Linked DNA regions of Pelodiscus sinensis. The protein of the gene in region 1 interacts with the protein of each later gene in a pairwise test. Links are inferred from orthologs where the notes say so. Each region holds a gene or a part of one and is shown in the gene's direction. Other genes may lie near its edges.

Evidence for each region.
Region 2: the proteins of KATNAL1 (region 1) and KLC4 interact in binary tests that used the Homo sapiens proteins (3 or more experiments, as listed by UniProt). The two-hybrid records come from large-scale screens. The link is inferred for Pelodiscus sinensis from reciprocal best matches to the Homo sapiens genes KATNAL1 and KLC4.

Annotation. Positions count from the first base shown.
Region 1 is NC_134711.1:298,586,792-298,594,684, forward strand, and holds the start of KATNAL1 (katanin p60 ATPase-containing subunit A-like 1), read left to right. Parts: upstream 1-4,880; 5' UTR 4,881-5,153; intron 5,154-5,253; exon of another isoform or gene 5,254-5,400; intron 5,401-7,893. UniProt on the Homo sapiens protein: Regulates microtubule dynamics in Sertoli cells, a process that is essential for spermiogenesis and male fertility. Severs microtubules in an ATP-dependent manner, promoting rapid reorganization of cellular microtubule arrays.
Region 2 is NC_134713.1:200,179,172-200,186,047, forward strand, and holds the start of KLC4 (kinesin light chain 4), read left to right. Parts: upstream 1-3,868; 5' UTR 3,869-4,025; intron 4,026-6,876.

The DNA of each region.
Region 1 (7,893 bases):
CAGAGTTGGTATGCTGCTGCAATCTCCCTCCCCCATGTTCTGGCTGTTCTGGGGGAAATCTGGGGCTGATTCTCCCCCAGGAGAGAGACTGGGGGGGGTGAGGCAGCTACCAGCTCCTCCCACAGTTTACACTCCCCTCTCCCACACAGAAATTCCTGCATATGGGCCTGCCCCCAGACTGCCTCCCTGAACACACCCAAGGGACTGAGGCACACTTCTGGACTCAATCAAAATTCCAAATCAAAGAACCATCCCGAGATGAGGAAAGGGCACACTGAGTGGGCCCTGACAAGGGCAACAGTGCCCTGCCAAAGGAGCACACCTGGAATCAGCAACACTGCTTTTCTCTGTAAATCATTTTGTGAGATTTCAGATGAAGGATGCTGTGCAAAATTATTTGTACTGTAACTATTCAGTAGAGCTAACTACCTTTTTTCTCTCTCTTTATAGAGGTAAAACCATTCTGAGGTCTCAGGAAAGGGGTGTTTTTATATACATGTTCTCTCTCTCTCTCTCTCTCTCTCTTATGTGATACTTATCTATGAAAAAAGTGTTCTATTAATATTTTAAGCACAATCCTGTAAAGACTGTCTTTTTTTCAGTGGATGGATTTATAAGGTTATCTTACATAGTCTTGTAGCATAGTGCAGAGTGTATAAAAATATGGCTGTATTTTTATATTTACTGCTTGGAGAACCATGGTGGCTGATTTATTCAAGCATCACTTCCAAGAAATGAGTATGTTCAGAATCTCAATGAAACTTCAAATAGGAAAGACACTTTTCACCATAAATATTAACCAATAACTGTGTCTAAAATGGTCCTTTTTCCTGGGGATATTTAGAAATCCAGTTTACATTACAGCTCTGTGTCACACTGTATGTACATGTAATCTGTTGTCAAAACACACATTACAAATTCATTTTTTAAATACCAGTTGGGGATAAATTGTCTCTTGAGAGTTATCCCTGAATACAAGACTACAATCTCTGCTATATACTCTAGGGCTACGTGTATACATCAGTGTTATTTCAAAATAACTGATGTTATTCCAAAATAACATAATCCACATCTACACACAAGCAGTTATTTCAATATGACTGCTTACTCAGGGTACATCTACACTGCAGGGGTTTTCTGAGTATCCTGGAAAAACTCCACCGCGTCCAAGGAACGCGTTTGCTCTTCCACTTTTTTTTGTGGCACACCAAACACACTCTTTTGGGGAGCCCTATATTCCTCGTTCTACGAGGGATAAGGGCTCTGCCAAAAGAGGAGGCTTTTCTGCCATTTGGTCCTGTCTAGATTGGGCCAAATGGCAGAAAAGCCTCTTCTGGAGAAGCGATCAGAAAAAGCTATGCAAATTGCGGAGCGCAATTTGTAGTAACTTTTTCCAACTCCCCCCCCATAGTGTAGACCTAGCCTCAGACTCCTGTAACCCTCATTGTACAAGGAGTAAGGGAAGTCAGGGGAAGAGTGCTCTATCTCAAAATAACTGCTGCGTAGACAGCGCCAAAACTCTAAATAAGCTATTTCAACTTAAGCTACGCAATTGGCATAGCTCAAGTTGCAGAGCTTATTTCAAGTTTAGCCCTGCTGTGTGGACATGCCCTAGATGCAATTACACATGCTGCAGATGACATCCATGGGATAAATTCTTAGGCTATGTTATGTAATATCAATAGTAATAGAGATGTAGCCGTGTTAGTCTGGTCTTGCTGAAACAAAAGACAGGACTATGCTTAAAAGTGCTGCATAGTCCTGTCTTTATGTAATATCATATATTGATAATATAGGATGAATTATACTTGGATGACTTAGTTGATGAAGAATATAATACATATAGCGTATGTCATGGCCAATAAAGCTACACACAATGCTGAGGATAGTTTATTCAACTTTTTATATGCTCAACACCTCTATGAGTGTCATTGGACTTCAGGATGTCCCTGTGGGTTGGATTTTACATTTAGATCTCTAACAGCAGAAAGAGTGTAGAATTGCTGGTACAAGGGACCTGACTTCCTAATTTTAGCCTTTTGATCTTGAACTGCCTTTCCAGCTCTCTTTCCTGGTCTGTTGCTTTCTCTGCTTCCCATTTTTGCCACTCTAACTCCAGTGATCTCGGTGGGTCTCTTTTTGCATTGTCCATTTCTCTTTGGCTGCCCATGGCTGGTATTTACTAGAAGCTGGGAACAGGAGATGGGATCAATCACTTGATGATTACCTGTTCTGTTCATTCCCTTTGAAGCATATAGCATTAGCTGCTGTTGAAGCCAGGATACTGAGCCAGATGGACCTTTGATCTGACCCAGTATAAGTGTTATTATATTAAATCACATTCCTTCTCCACGTTTGCCATCTCCAACATCGCCAAATCCAACTTCATGGCTGTTTCATTGAGAGCTGTATTTGCACATACCTTGCACATACCTTATCTTTTTTCCTCCAGTGAAAATCTCAATTACTTTGGTATTTATTTCTTGAACTATGTGCTGCTGCTCAAAGTACTGCCTCTTGGAATATGATTCTTGCTTGGTCACAGAATACTATTGTCTGTTCTATTGCCCTTACTGAAATAAACAAACAAAAACCAACAATCTATACCCTTTTTTGGTTGTTTCTAGCCATCTCACTTGTGAATCTCTTAGTATCCACAAGCTAATCTACACTAGATAATTAGATTGATCCAGCTATGTCATTTGGGGTGTGAAAAATCCACATTCCTGTGAGAGATAGTAAAGCCAACCTAAGTCCCCAGGTAGACAGTAGTAGCTTGATTGAAAAATTCTTCCACTGACCTAGCCTTTAAATTGGAGCTTTCTTCCTCCTGCAGTCCTACTTTCCTAGTCAGGTTTCACTCCCCAGAACAAGGCAAGCAGTCCCAGTACTCCCAGGCCCCAGCCACACCAAGTCCTGGCCACAAGCTGGCAGTTCCAGAAAGGAGCAGCATGCTTGGATTGGGTCCAAGGAGAAAGTGGCAAACAGAAGGGAGTTTCTGGTGGGGTGTGGACAGAGCCACACAGTACTGTTTGGGGAGCCTCCCACAGCCTACAAATACACACCACCCACAGCTGAAAAGGTAGATCTCATGGAGGTCACTGAATCCATAACATAATCTTAGCCTTACTTATTAGAGACTGGATGTGTGAAGGCATTGCTAATGAGATATAGAGCCTTTCCTGTATGTGTCACAAATTTGTTTCTAGCCCAGCTCAGCAGGGCTGGAATTATTTTAATCATTCCCATCTGTTGGAAGTTTGGTGGGTGAGTGCCAGCTTCCACATCACAGTTTCACAAACAGCGTATGGGTATGTGGGAGGACAGGGGACAGATGCAATGTGAGGGGTAGGCACTATGTGAGAGGACAAGGGACAGGAGTATTATGGGGAGGGATGCAGGCAGCATGTGGGTGTTGGGACTTGGGGGGAAGCAGGCAGTGTGTGAGTGTTGGGACTTGGGGGGCAGGCAGTGTTGGGATTTGGGAGGCAGGCAGTGTGTAGGTGTTGGGATTTGGGGGCAGGCAGCATGTGGGTGTTGGGACTTTGGGGGCAGGCAGCATTAGGTGTTGGGATTTGGGGGGCAGGCAGTGTGTAGGTGTTGGGATATGGGGGGAAGCAGCATATGGGTGTTGGGACTGGGGGGGCAGGCAGAGTTGGGTGTTGGGGCTTGCGGGGCAGGCAGTATGTAGGTGTTGAAGGTTTGGGGGGGAGGCAGCATGTGGCTGTTAGGACTTGTGGGACTAGGCAGCATTAGGTGTTAGAATTTGGGGGGGGGGACAGGCAGCATATTGGTGTGGGGACTTGGGGGGGGACAGGCAGTGTGTGGGTGCTGGGATTTGGGGGGCAGGCAGCGTATTGGTGTTGGGACTGGGGGGGCCAGATGGCATGTGGGTGTTGGGACTGGGGGGCAGGCAGTGTGTGGGTGTTGGGACTGGGGGGACCAGGCAGTGTGTGGGTGCTGCGGTTGGGGGGGGGCAGGTGGCATGTGGGTGCTGGGGTTGGGGGGCAGGCAGTGTGTGGGTGTTGGGACTGGGAGGGCCAGGCAGCGTGTGGGTGCTGTGGTTGGGGGGGCAGGTGGTGTGTGGGTGCTGGGGTTGAGGGGCAGGCAGCGTGTGGGTGCTGGGACTGGGGTGCAGGCGGTGTATTGGTGTTGGGACTGGGGGGCAGGCGGCGTGTGGGTGCTGGGACTGGGGGGTAGGCGGCGTGGGGGTGCTGGGACTGGGGGGCAGGCAGCGTGGGGGTGCTCGGGTTGGGGGCCAGGCGGCAAGTGGGTGTTGGGGTTGGGAGGCAGGCGGCGTGTGGCGGCTGGGGGGCAGGCGGCGTGTGGGTGCTGGGGCTCGGGGGCAGGTGGCGTGCAGGTGTTGGGACTGGGGGGGCAGGCTGTGTGTGGGTGCTGGGGGGCACGCGGCATCTGGGTGCTGGGGCTGGGGGGCAGGTGGCGTGTGGGGGCTGAGGAGCAGGCGGCGTGTGGGGGCTGGGACTAGGGAGCAGGCGGCGTGTGGGGGCTGGGACTGGGGGGCAGGCGGCGTGTGGGTGTTGGGACTGGGGGGGCAAGCGGCGTGTGGGTGCTAGGACTGGGGGGCAGGCGGCGTGGGGGCTGAGGAGCAGGCGGTGTGTCGGGCTGGGGTTGGGGGGGCAGGCGGCGTGTGCGGGCTGGGCGGGGGGGGGGCAGGCGGCGTGTGCGGGCTGGGCGGGGGGGGGCAGGCGGCGTGTGGCTGGGCGGGAGGGTGGCGCACAGATGGGCCGCAGGGAGGACCAGGGCAGGGAGTGTCTGATCAGACGGGCCCAAATGACCATTTCAGCCTCTGGCTCCTGGCTGGGCGGGGGGGGGGCAGCGGGCAACTCCCCCTGCTCCGGGGTCGTGGGGGGCGGGGCTGTCTGTGGGGCTGGGTCGCAGCGGGTGGAGGTGGGGCCGGCGGGCGGGTCGCTCTGCCCCCGGGCGCGGCGGGAAAGGGGCCTGGGCTCCCCCCGGGAGAGGCCGCGCCGCCCCCAGCCTCTCGCTGGGCGGGGCAGGAGGGCGGAGCGGTGGGATACCCGGGCACCACGGCCGGGCGTCGCCCTTCGCCTCCATGGCAACGAGCCGCCGGCGCGCGCACGCCACGGGCTAACGGAGTTGCTCGCGGACACGCAGCAAGGGCAGCGCTCCAACAGGTAAGGGCAGGGCCTGACTACGCGGCGCCCATCGCGGCTGCTGGGGCGGGGACGCGACACAAACCCCGACAGGGACCGCGGCGCGAGAGGCGCTGGCCATTGAACGTTCTGTGGCCGGAGAGAGCTGCGGAGCCTCTGCCGCGAAGCAGGATGGGCGATGTAGTTCTTGGGCTCACGCCCGCGGTGACGGCCGGCCGCGGCGCGGGCGGGCGCGGACTACAGATCCCAGCGCGCGGCCTGTGGCCGGGTAGGGGGCGCAGCTTGGCTTCGCCCCGGTATCTGACCCTGTGGGGGAGGGGTCGGGGGGGGACCCGCTGGGGACCCGGAGGTGGGCGCGACACCGGGGGCTGCAGCAGCGCAGGCTGGGCCTGTGTAACGGCGCCGAAGCTGCGGCCCGCGGTCTGTCGGGGGCTTGTGGCGCCTCCGCCCTGGGGGTGTCTGGGGGGGGGGGGAGGATGCAGAGCTGGGTGTGTAACGGGAGGGGCTGAGCGCAGCGCCAGGGGACGTGGGCGAGGAGGCAGCGAGGGCGCTGGGCTGTCAGTCCCCCAACACGTTAAGTCCCGTGAGCTGTGCAGCGCCTCTGGGGAAGCCCCTCTCGCTGGCTGAGCCCCTTGGACCAGCTGCTCTGTCCAGGCACACGCCTGGTTTTGCTTTTTCCATAGTTCCCTTTGGCTTTGAAATGCCCAGCGCTTCCCTCCTGAGCAGGCAGCCTCCTCTCCCCGGGTTGCACATTAAGGCTTTGTCTACACTCCCACGTAACTATCCAGTCTTTAGGTGCTTATAGATTATCAGTTTTGCCTGTTACATACAGCTCCGCTTTCCCTTTGATATTTATATACCCATTTCCCCCCCCTCTATTTATTTTTGGTTCTGGACATCTAACACTCCAGTCATCTGAAGAAGTGGACTGTGCCTACCAAAGCTCATGATACCATTTACATGTTTTGTTAGTCTTTAAAGTGCTACCAGACTATTTGTTGTTTTTTAAGTTTATCCCATACAGACTAACTTGGCTACCCCTCTGAAGCTTGCAAATCTTTTGTTGGTCAGGGGTGTGGAATCCCCCTGACCCCCCCCCCCAAACAATCCAGACAGACATAGGCAAGTTTCACTGACAAAAGTGTAGACCAGTGGTTCCCAACCTTTTGGGGTTGCTGGGTGCCCGGGGGAGGGGCCACTCGCGCTGGGCACCCGAGGGCGGAGCCGCACACGCACCTGGGGGCGGGGCTGCGGCTGCGCACGCTCCCAGGGGCGGGGCCTCCCATATGCTGCATGCCCAGTGCCGGTGCCACCCATGCGCTGCACTCCTGGGGCCGGCGCCGCTCCTGTGCCTCACGCCCAGGAGCTGGCATCACCCAAGCGCTGCGCGCCTGGGGCCGGCGCCGCCACTGCGCTGCGTGCCATGGGGCGGGGACGCCCATATGCTGAATGCCCAGTGCCGGTGCCACCCATGCGCCTCACTCCTGTGGCCAGCGCCGCTCCTGGGCTGCACGCCCTGGAGCCAGCAACGCCCATGCACTGTACGCCTGGGGCCGGCGCCACTCCTGTGCTATATGCCCGGGGGCAGGGATGCTCATACGCCACGCGCCCGGGGCCCGTTCAGCCCATGTACTACGCTCCCGGCGGCGGGGCCACCCATGTGCCACGTACCCCGGGGCCGGCACCGCCCATGCGCCATTCAGCCAGGGTTGGGCCACCCATACGCTGCGCGCCCAGGGGCTGGCACTGCCCATGCACCACATGCCCGGGGGCAGGGCTGGCCCCGATCACTCGGTGGGCACACAGAAATGGCCTGGCGGGTGCCATGGCGCCCGTGGGCACCATGTTGGGGACCACTGGTGTAGACTGTGTGGCCAGTGGTATGTTGGCAGGAGAGCTCTCTTCCACCAGGATAGGGCAGTGGTTCTGCTGTGTCACTGTAAGGCAGTGGTCTCTAACCTTTTTAAGCACAAGATTACTTTTTGAATTTAAGTGCAATCCAAGATCTACCTCTCATATAAATATCCTTCCCCACTTCCTTCCTACCCTTTCTCCAAGGCCCCACCCCTGCTCACTCCATCCTCCCTTTCTTGCCCATCCTCACTCACTTTCATCAGGCTGGGGCAGAGACCTTCACCGCATCCTCTGGTAAGGAGTTCCACAGGTTGACTATGAGCTGAGTGAAGAAAAACTTCCTTTGGTTTATTTAAACCCTGCTGTATATATCATAGGGTATGTCTAGACTACATGCCTCTCTTGCCAGAAGCATGTAAATTAGACTACCTGACATAGTCAATGAAGCCAGGATTTAAATAGCCTGGCTTCATTAAAATAAAAATGGCTGCCGTGTTGTGCTGGCTCAGCTGATCGTCGGCATAGCGTGTGAGTCAAGACGCGGATCGGTCGACAAGGGAAGCCTTTGTCGACCGCTCCTGTAAACCTCGTTTTTTTAATAGAGAAATAAAGCAGGTCACACTAAAACCAATGAAAATAATTGACTTATTTATTGAAGACATTGTAGGAGACGTGAGATTTTTAAGTGCAACTTAAATGAGAGGGTAGTATTAGGGATGGTTTTGAAGGCATGATGGACAGCATGAATAAATTAGGCAGAAAAGTGTATGAAAAGGAGTAAAGGCTAGTATCTTTTTTCAGCTATGCTATTCTTGCTAGTTAATGTTTTATTGAAAGCAAGTGAAATGTTAGGATTCATGCAACTTGATGTTTATATTAGGGATGTAAACAGAGGTAAAAGTAAGCG
Region 2 (6,876 bases), on another chromosome or scaffold:
GAGACTGCAAAACCACTGACTGGGGGGTAACCTGTCAGGTAAATCAACTGCACCCGCTGGCTTGACGACAGCTGATGTAATGTCAGTTTTGAAAAGGGGCTCCCGAGGCGACCCTGGCAACTACAGCCTTCAGCACCAGACCAACTGGTGAAACTAGGGATGTTAGAGATTAACTGGCTAACCGAGAAGCTGATGCTTATCGGATAATGTTATCAGTTAAACGCTGGGGAGCCGTCTGCCGCCCCGGCACGTGCCAGGTCCCAGCAGTGGCTGCTGCCCCGCTCCCAGAAGACTCGCAGCAGACTCTGCACTATGAAGCTCATTTACTCTGTATACTGCAACGTGTGGAACCACTAAGATTTTTGACCAACTTTTGACGTCCCTAGTTGAAACTGGTAAAGAACAGAATGATCAGACATGTAGAGGTAGACGCTATGGTGGGGAAGAGACCGCAAGGGAATTACAATTCTTAGAGGGAGGTCAACAAACATGGACAAGGACAATCTGACCCAGTATGGCTGCTCTTCTGTTCATGGAGCTATTTCAGCTGTGAAAGTAGAAAGATGAATTATACTGTAATAATAGATTAAGTTCAAGGAATACTGTTTGTCCCTTTACAGGAAAGAGAAGATTATGTTAATGTTGTTTGTAGGAATGCAGGATGGATCAGAGGGAAACCAAGTGTGTCTGGGATAACAGGAAAAGGAACATTAGGTGTTAGGCAGAAAGTAATTGAGATAACCACGGAGATATGGACAGGAGATTGCTGAGGCTTGATATGGAAATGAAGATACTTGATTAGTCTCATGCTAATCATGTGAGTTTTGCCTCCTTTTTGGATCATGTTAATTTTGCTTTCTTTTGTCTGTATAAATCGAGGGGTTTGAGTCTTGTACGGCACTCACATTTTCTGGGTGTATTAGCAGAGCAGCTTGGCTAATAAACAGAGCGGTCTGACACATTTGTGAGTCCTGTGTCTGACTTTGACACAACCCACAGAACTATTGCAGAACTGCTGCACAGCAAGGGGGTGATCGATTCACCTCTTACCGTAAGAGTTACCTGAGCTAATGCTCTGAACCTGTCTATAGGCCAGGGGTGGGGAATATATGGCCCGCAGGCTGGATCCAGCCTGCCAAACATTTCCCCCCAGCCTGCCATAACCCTTTGGGCCAGGGCCACAGGAGTGTCCTGTAGCCACCAGGGCTCTCAGGTACACTGTGTGTTCACAGCGGCCCTGGCTATGCTCCTTTTGGAAACACCACAACCAGCTGCTGGGACAAGCATGTCTCTGCATGCCGCCTGGGGGATGGAGCACCCTCCCCCGCACCTTCCTCAGGGCTCCCATTGGCTGGAAACCAAGCAATGGGAGATGTGGGGGAATGCTTGTGGGCACAGGCAGCGTGTGGAGACCCACTGCTTCCCTGCCCCAAGAAGCGTGCAGAGCCGTGGTGAAAGCATAATATTTCTTATAGGTAATGTCCTCTTGCAACTTGGGTCCCTGCCAGCTCCGTTGGTTTTTGCCGCAGCTCAGACAGAGCTGCGCACCAGGGCGCACCCTCTTACTGTCACCTCTGGTGCAGAGGCGCCTTTGCCCAAGCAGTACAGCAGCCCGCAGTTTGAAGAGACATGGGGCCACCATGACATGCAAGAAGCCTTCCTGCCTGAATGCCCCACTGCACTGCCAGACTGGAGCCGCCAGGGCCAGAATCTGCACTTGGCACCCTCTTCCACAAACCAACCCCCTGCTCCAGACCACAACCCCCACCTGCACCCAGACTCCTTCCCAGATGTGCACCCCTCTGACTCCTGCTCCAGGTCAGAACCCCCTCCTGCACCCAAACTCCCTCCCAGATGTGCACCCCTCTGACTCCTGCTCCAGGTCAGAACCCCCTCCTGCACCCAAATTCTCTCCCAGTCCCCCCCCCCCCCCAAGAATAGCTGCTGTCGTCTGAGGAGGAAATGCTGTACTTTTCATACAGAATAAACTGCTTGACTCCCTTCGTTAAGTGCACATTGGGAGTCAAACTTGACCTTGGAGTGACACCCTCTCTAATTTCCCTAACTGGTATTTGTCCTGCTATTGGGACAGATAGTCTTGTTTATCTGGGTCTTGTTATTGTCGGGTATTGTTGACTTGGGCTGCGTGTCAGTTTGCTATTGTGGAGGCCAGCCGTGGAATGGGCATAACTGTGCTGGAGTCTGAGTCAGGTGTTGCTCCTGAGGGGAGTGTAGGTGGAACCAAGCCAAGGGGAACTGGTTTACATTACCAGAACACAGAATGAGCTTGCTTGGTGAGTAGAATTTGGCTGGGTATGTCTGGCAAGGTTGAGTAGGGCCAGGTTTTCTTAGTACTGAGTGTGGTTGGTAAGGGAAATTGGGCAGGTTGCCTGAGCACCAGAAGGGACCATTATGATCCTCTCATCTGACCTCCTGAACGTGGACTGGAGAATCCCACAGTGGCTATGTCTAGACTGGCATGATTTTCCAGAAATGCTTCTAACGGAAAAGATTTCTGTTAAAAGCATTTTCGGAAAAGCGCGTCTAGATTGGCACGGACACTTTTCTGCAAAAGCACTTTTTGCAGAAAAGCATCCGTGGCCAATCTAGACGCACTTTTCCGCAAAAAAGCCCCGATCGCCATTTTCGCGATCAGGGCTTTTTTGCAGAAAACAAATCTCAGCTGTCTACACTGGCCCTTTTGCGCAAAAGGGACTTTTGCCCGAACGGGAGCAGCATAGTATTTCCGCAAAAAGCACTGATTTCTTACAGTAGGAAGTCAGTGCTTTTGTGGAAATTTAAGCGGCCAGTGTAGACAGCTGGCAAGCTTTTCCGGAAAAGCGGCTAATTTTCCGGAAAAACTGGCCAGTCTAGACACAGCCAACAATTCCAGGATCAAGCCTGTCGTTTCTGGCTGGGCTATAGCCATTTAGAAAGAGATCCAGGTTTTATTTACAGACTCCAAGTCACAAAGAAACCTCCATAGTCCTAGGTAAGCTGTTCAATGGTTAGTCATTCTCACAGTCTAAAACGTACATCTTATTTCTAGTCTGAATCAGGAGCGGCTCGTGGAGAGCTGACGGCATCTGGAGCCCTAGGCGGAATGTGCGATGGGCGCCCCCGCCTCCATAGCCCTCAATGGCGTGACGTCATCATTGGAACTGGGCCCCCCCGGTCTGAATGATAAGAAATCTCTTAGCCATGTAGGTACTCATAGACTGGGAACAATCCTCTTTTGAATGAACTACATAGATTGCATTTCCTTAGTCTCTCTTTGGAAGGCAAGTTTTCCAGACTTCATCTTATTCGCTCCTTTTCAGAACTTCTCCGGTCTGTCAACAGCATTCGTTTTGGCGCGCGGATGCCAGACCCCTACGGTAATTGGGCCCGCCAGTGCTGAGCATGGACGTCGTGCCACCTCTTCACTTGCTGGCCCTTGCTTATGCATCCCAGGGGGCACTCCCTTAGGCACTCCCTTATTGCACTCCCTTAGCCACAGAGTGAAATGGGGTTTTCAAATAGCCAGCGGGGCTTTGCAAGCGTGTTCGACCAGATGCATTTCCCGCGGCCAGGGGCCGGGCCCAGGGGTGCTGCTGGCTGGGGGGAGGGGTGCCCAGCACAGGCAGGTTGGCCTGACACGGCCCCTGGGGGCGGGCTGCCCAGCTGGCCCTGGCCTGGCTCCCAGCGCTGCAAGCCAGGGGCGCGCGCCACCCGCCCGCAAGGGAGCGGCTCTGCACCACGCCGCGCGCGCGCGCGCCCGGACCCAGAGCCAACAGCGCAGCCGGCGCGCGCCTCCAACGGACAAGCCCAGCCCCTCACGCGCCCGAAGGCCTGTCAGCGCGGGCGCGGGGCGGGGGCGGTTTGCTGAGTCACGTGCCCCACTGCTCAGCCTGCGCCTCCCCGCGCGGGGCATTGTGGGAAGCGGCTGCCGGGCTGAGGCAGCCGAAGCTGGATTTAAAGGGGCCGGGGCCGGCCGCGCTGAGGGGACGGGGGGTGCCCGCGCCAGCGGCCCCGCCGCCTGAGGGGTGAGTGAGGCGCCCGCCTGTCTGGCGGGGGGGGCAGCAGCGCTGAGTGTGGGGCGCCTGGCCCGGGCACAGCTGGGGGGGCAGCGCGCGGGGGGGGGGCGGTAATGGGCGCGGGGGGGGGGCAGCGCGCGGGGGGGGGGGGGCGGTAATGGGCGCGGGGGGGGGGCAGCGCGCGGGGGGGGCGGGTAATTGCGCGGGGGGGGCAGCGCGCAGGGGGCGGTAATTGCGCGGGGGGGGCAGCGCGCAGGGGGGCGGTAATTGCGCGGGGGGGCAGCGCGCAGGGGGCGGTAATTGCGCGGGGGGGGCAGCGCGCAGGGGGGGGCGGTAATGTGCGCGGGGGGGGGCAGCGCAGGGGGCGGTAATTGCGCGGGGGGGCAGCGCGCAGGGGGGGCGGTAATGGGCGCGGGGGGGGGCAGCGCGCAGGGGGGGCGGTAATGGGCGCGGGGGGGGCAGCGCGCAGGGGGGGCGGTAATGTGCGCGGGGGGGGCAGCGCGCAGGGGGGGCGGTAATGTGCGCGGGGGGGGGCAGCGCGCGGGGGGGGGCGGTAATGGGCGCGGGGGGGGGCGGTAATGGGCGCGGGGGGGGCAGCGCGCGGGGGGGGCGGTAATTGCGCGGGGGGGGCAGCGCGCAGGGGGGGGGCGCCTCCCCCTGGGCCCCCGTCCCAGTGCTAATTGCTGAGCGGGGTCCCCTCGCCGCCCCTGCAGTCACCGGGGGGGGGGGGGGGGGTGAGGGAATCTCCCCTTGGGGCCCCGGCTTGCCCGGTGAGGGGGGGGTGCCTGTGGGCAGTGCCCCCCCGTAGCCGTGGCCAGCGGGTGAGGGTCGGTCGGGTGCGTGGTCCAGAGCCCGGTGCTGCCATCGCTGGGGCAGGCGCTGCTCTGGCCTTGCCACTGGCCTGTTGCCTGACCTCGGGCACGTCGCTCGCTTCGGGGCAAACGGGGCCGCGGCTGGGGCAGATGTGACCGTGAGGGGCGGCTTCCTAGCAGTCAGGGGCACCAGTGCATGAAGACCCTCGGGGAGAGGGAGCGCTACTGCCTGGCCTATTTAGAACTAGGCTGGACCCAGCTCTCCAGATCCTGGGGATGGATGAGAGGGGACCACTCCGGTCTCTTCCATACCCAGCACCTCAAAGTTTGACCTGAGCAGAATGAGTGTTGTAGGGAGAAATCTGTCCAGTTAAGGACAAAGTCCAACTTCAGTAACCAGATGTCTGCTTGCCCTTGGTATGTGGCAGAACCATGTTAGTCAGTGGCTTGTGATGACGCATCCAGGGCTACCTGCTCTAAAGCACAGGGTCTTTCTGCACAGCCTACTTCAGGGAGCACTTGGCTAGTGCTGTGCTATGATGGCAAAGCGGGTCTGGCAAAGGCAGGAGGTAATCAAGCCCTTCACTTGTCCTGCTTTTTGTGTGGCTTATCAGGGGCCTTAATTATCAGGGACGGCAGAGCTGGGTATGAAAATCCATGATGAGTGTTCACGTCTGGGTAGGAGGCAAAGTCCGGAATTCAAGCTGGAGCAGAGCGTTCCGCTGCTGTTGGAGTGTGGTGACCTGCACTCTCTCTCACTGTATGTAGTCTTATTTGTCAAACTAACAATAATAATAGCAGAAAATGTACATCAGTTGGTCTTCCTTGTTTGATTGAAGAGCACTTCTAGTCTGCATACTACAAGTGCTCCTTCCATTGTCGGGAAGGTAATCATCATTGTTCCCTTACCCTAGATTCTTCTGGGGAAAGAATTAGGGTACAGAGTCTGTACAGAGACTTAGTTGATTGGAATGCAGCGTGGTCCCAACACAGTGGAACAATCAACATACAGTACTCAACTCTGACAGTCCGTCAAATCTAACTTGTGTGCCGAGAGCCCCAATATTAACCCCACCTCCAGGGTCCTGCATGGCAATGCCTTAGCTAGAAGCCAGCCATGGATAGCTTTCAGGGAGTGCAATTTTTGTCCTCGCCATGCTTAATGAATATTTCCTAGTTATGTTCCCCACACTTGAGCTACTGCTCCCCCCCTTCAGTAAATGTCCTGTGCTGTCCTTCCACAGGTGCATGTCTACTGCCTGTGCTCCTGCACAGCAGTGGGATGAGGGAACATGGCCAACACTGAGGAAACTAGAGGCTGCAGGCTATGGATGGCCTGCTGAGGAGCTGCACAGAAGTAGTCAGGACTATTCTGGGCATGGGTCCATAGCTGAGGAAGCATTTTTGAGAGGGGGAGGTTAGGGAGAGAGATGCAGCTATAGGACTTAGCTGCCAGAGTAAGGTTTGCTGACTGAAAGAACTGTCCTCATTGGGTTTGTCTGCACTGGAATTGAAGTTAATTGATTGCCAGTTAACTGGAGATAGCCAGTACATACTATTGTGGACACTACAAAGTCTGCAGGAGTATGGCACAGCACTAGGCCTTGTGTGCCTGTTTGCATTTGAAGAATTAATCCTATCAATTGTGTACTGAGGTGCTTCCTTTTATAAAACTTTTGTGGATTTTTTTCTTTTTCCAATGTTGGGATGGGATGAGAGGCTGAAAATCTCCACAAACTTGTGAAGATCACACTGCAGGCTTTAGCATTTCCCAGCCCTTAGCTCTGGTGCCATGTAGCCGTAAGTCTAACCGGGATGCTCCCACTCTGTCTAGCTTCTAACACCCCACGCTGTGTGTTTTCTGATAATATGTTAACCTTGGTCATAAACACAATGTGAGATGTGCTCTTGAAACAACTGATTGCAAATGAAAATACCTGCTTTATGACCATGTTAACTCCCTTCTCTCCTTTGTGGCGAGGCACCTGCCTGCTCTGAGGAGCAGGATGTTCAGATCTGCATGCTATTCATAGAGAGAGGGTTAGTGG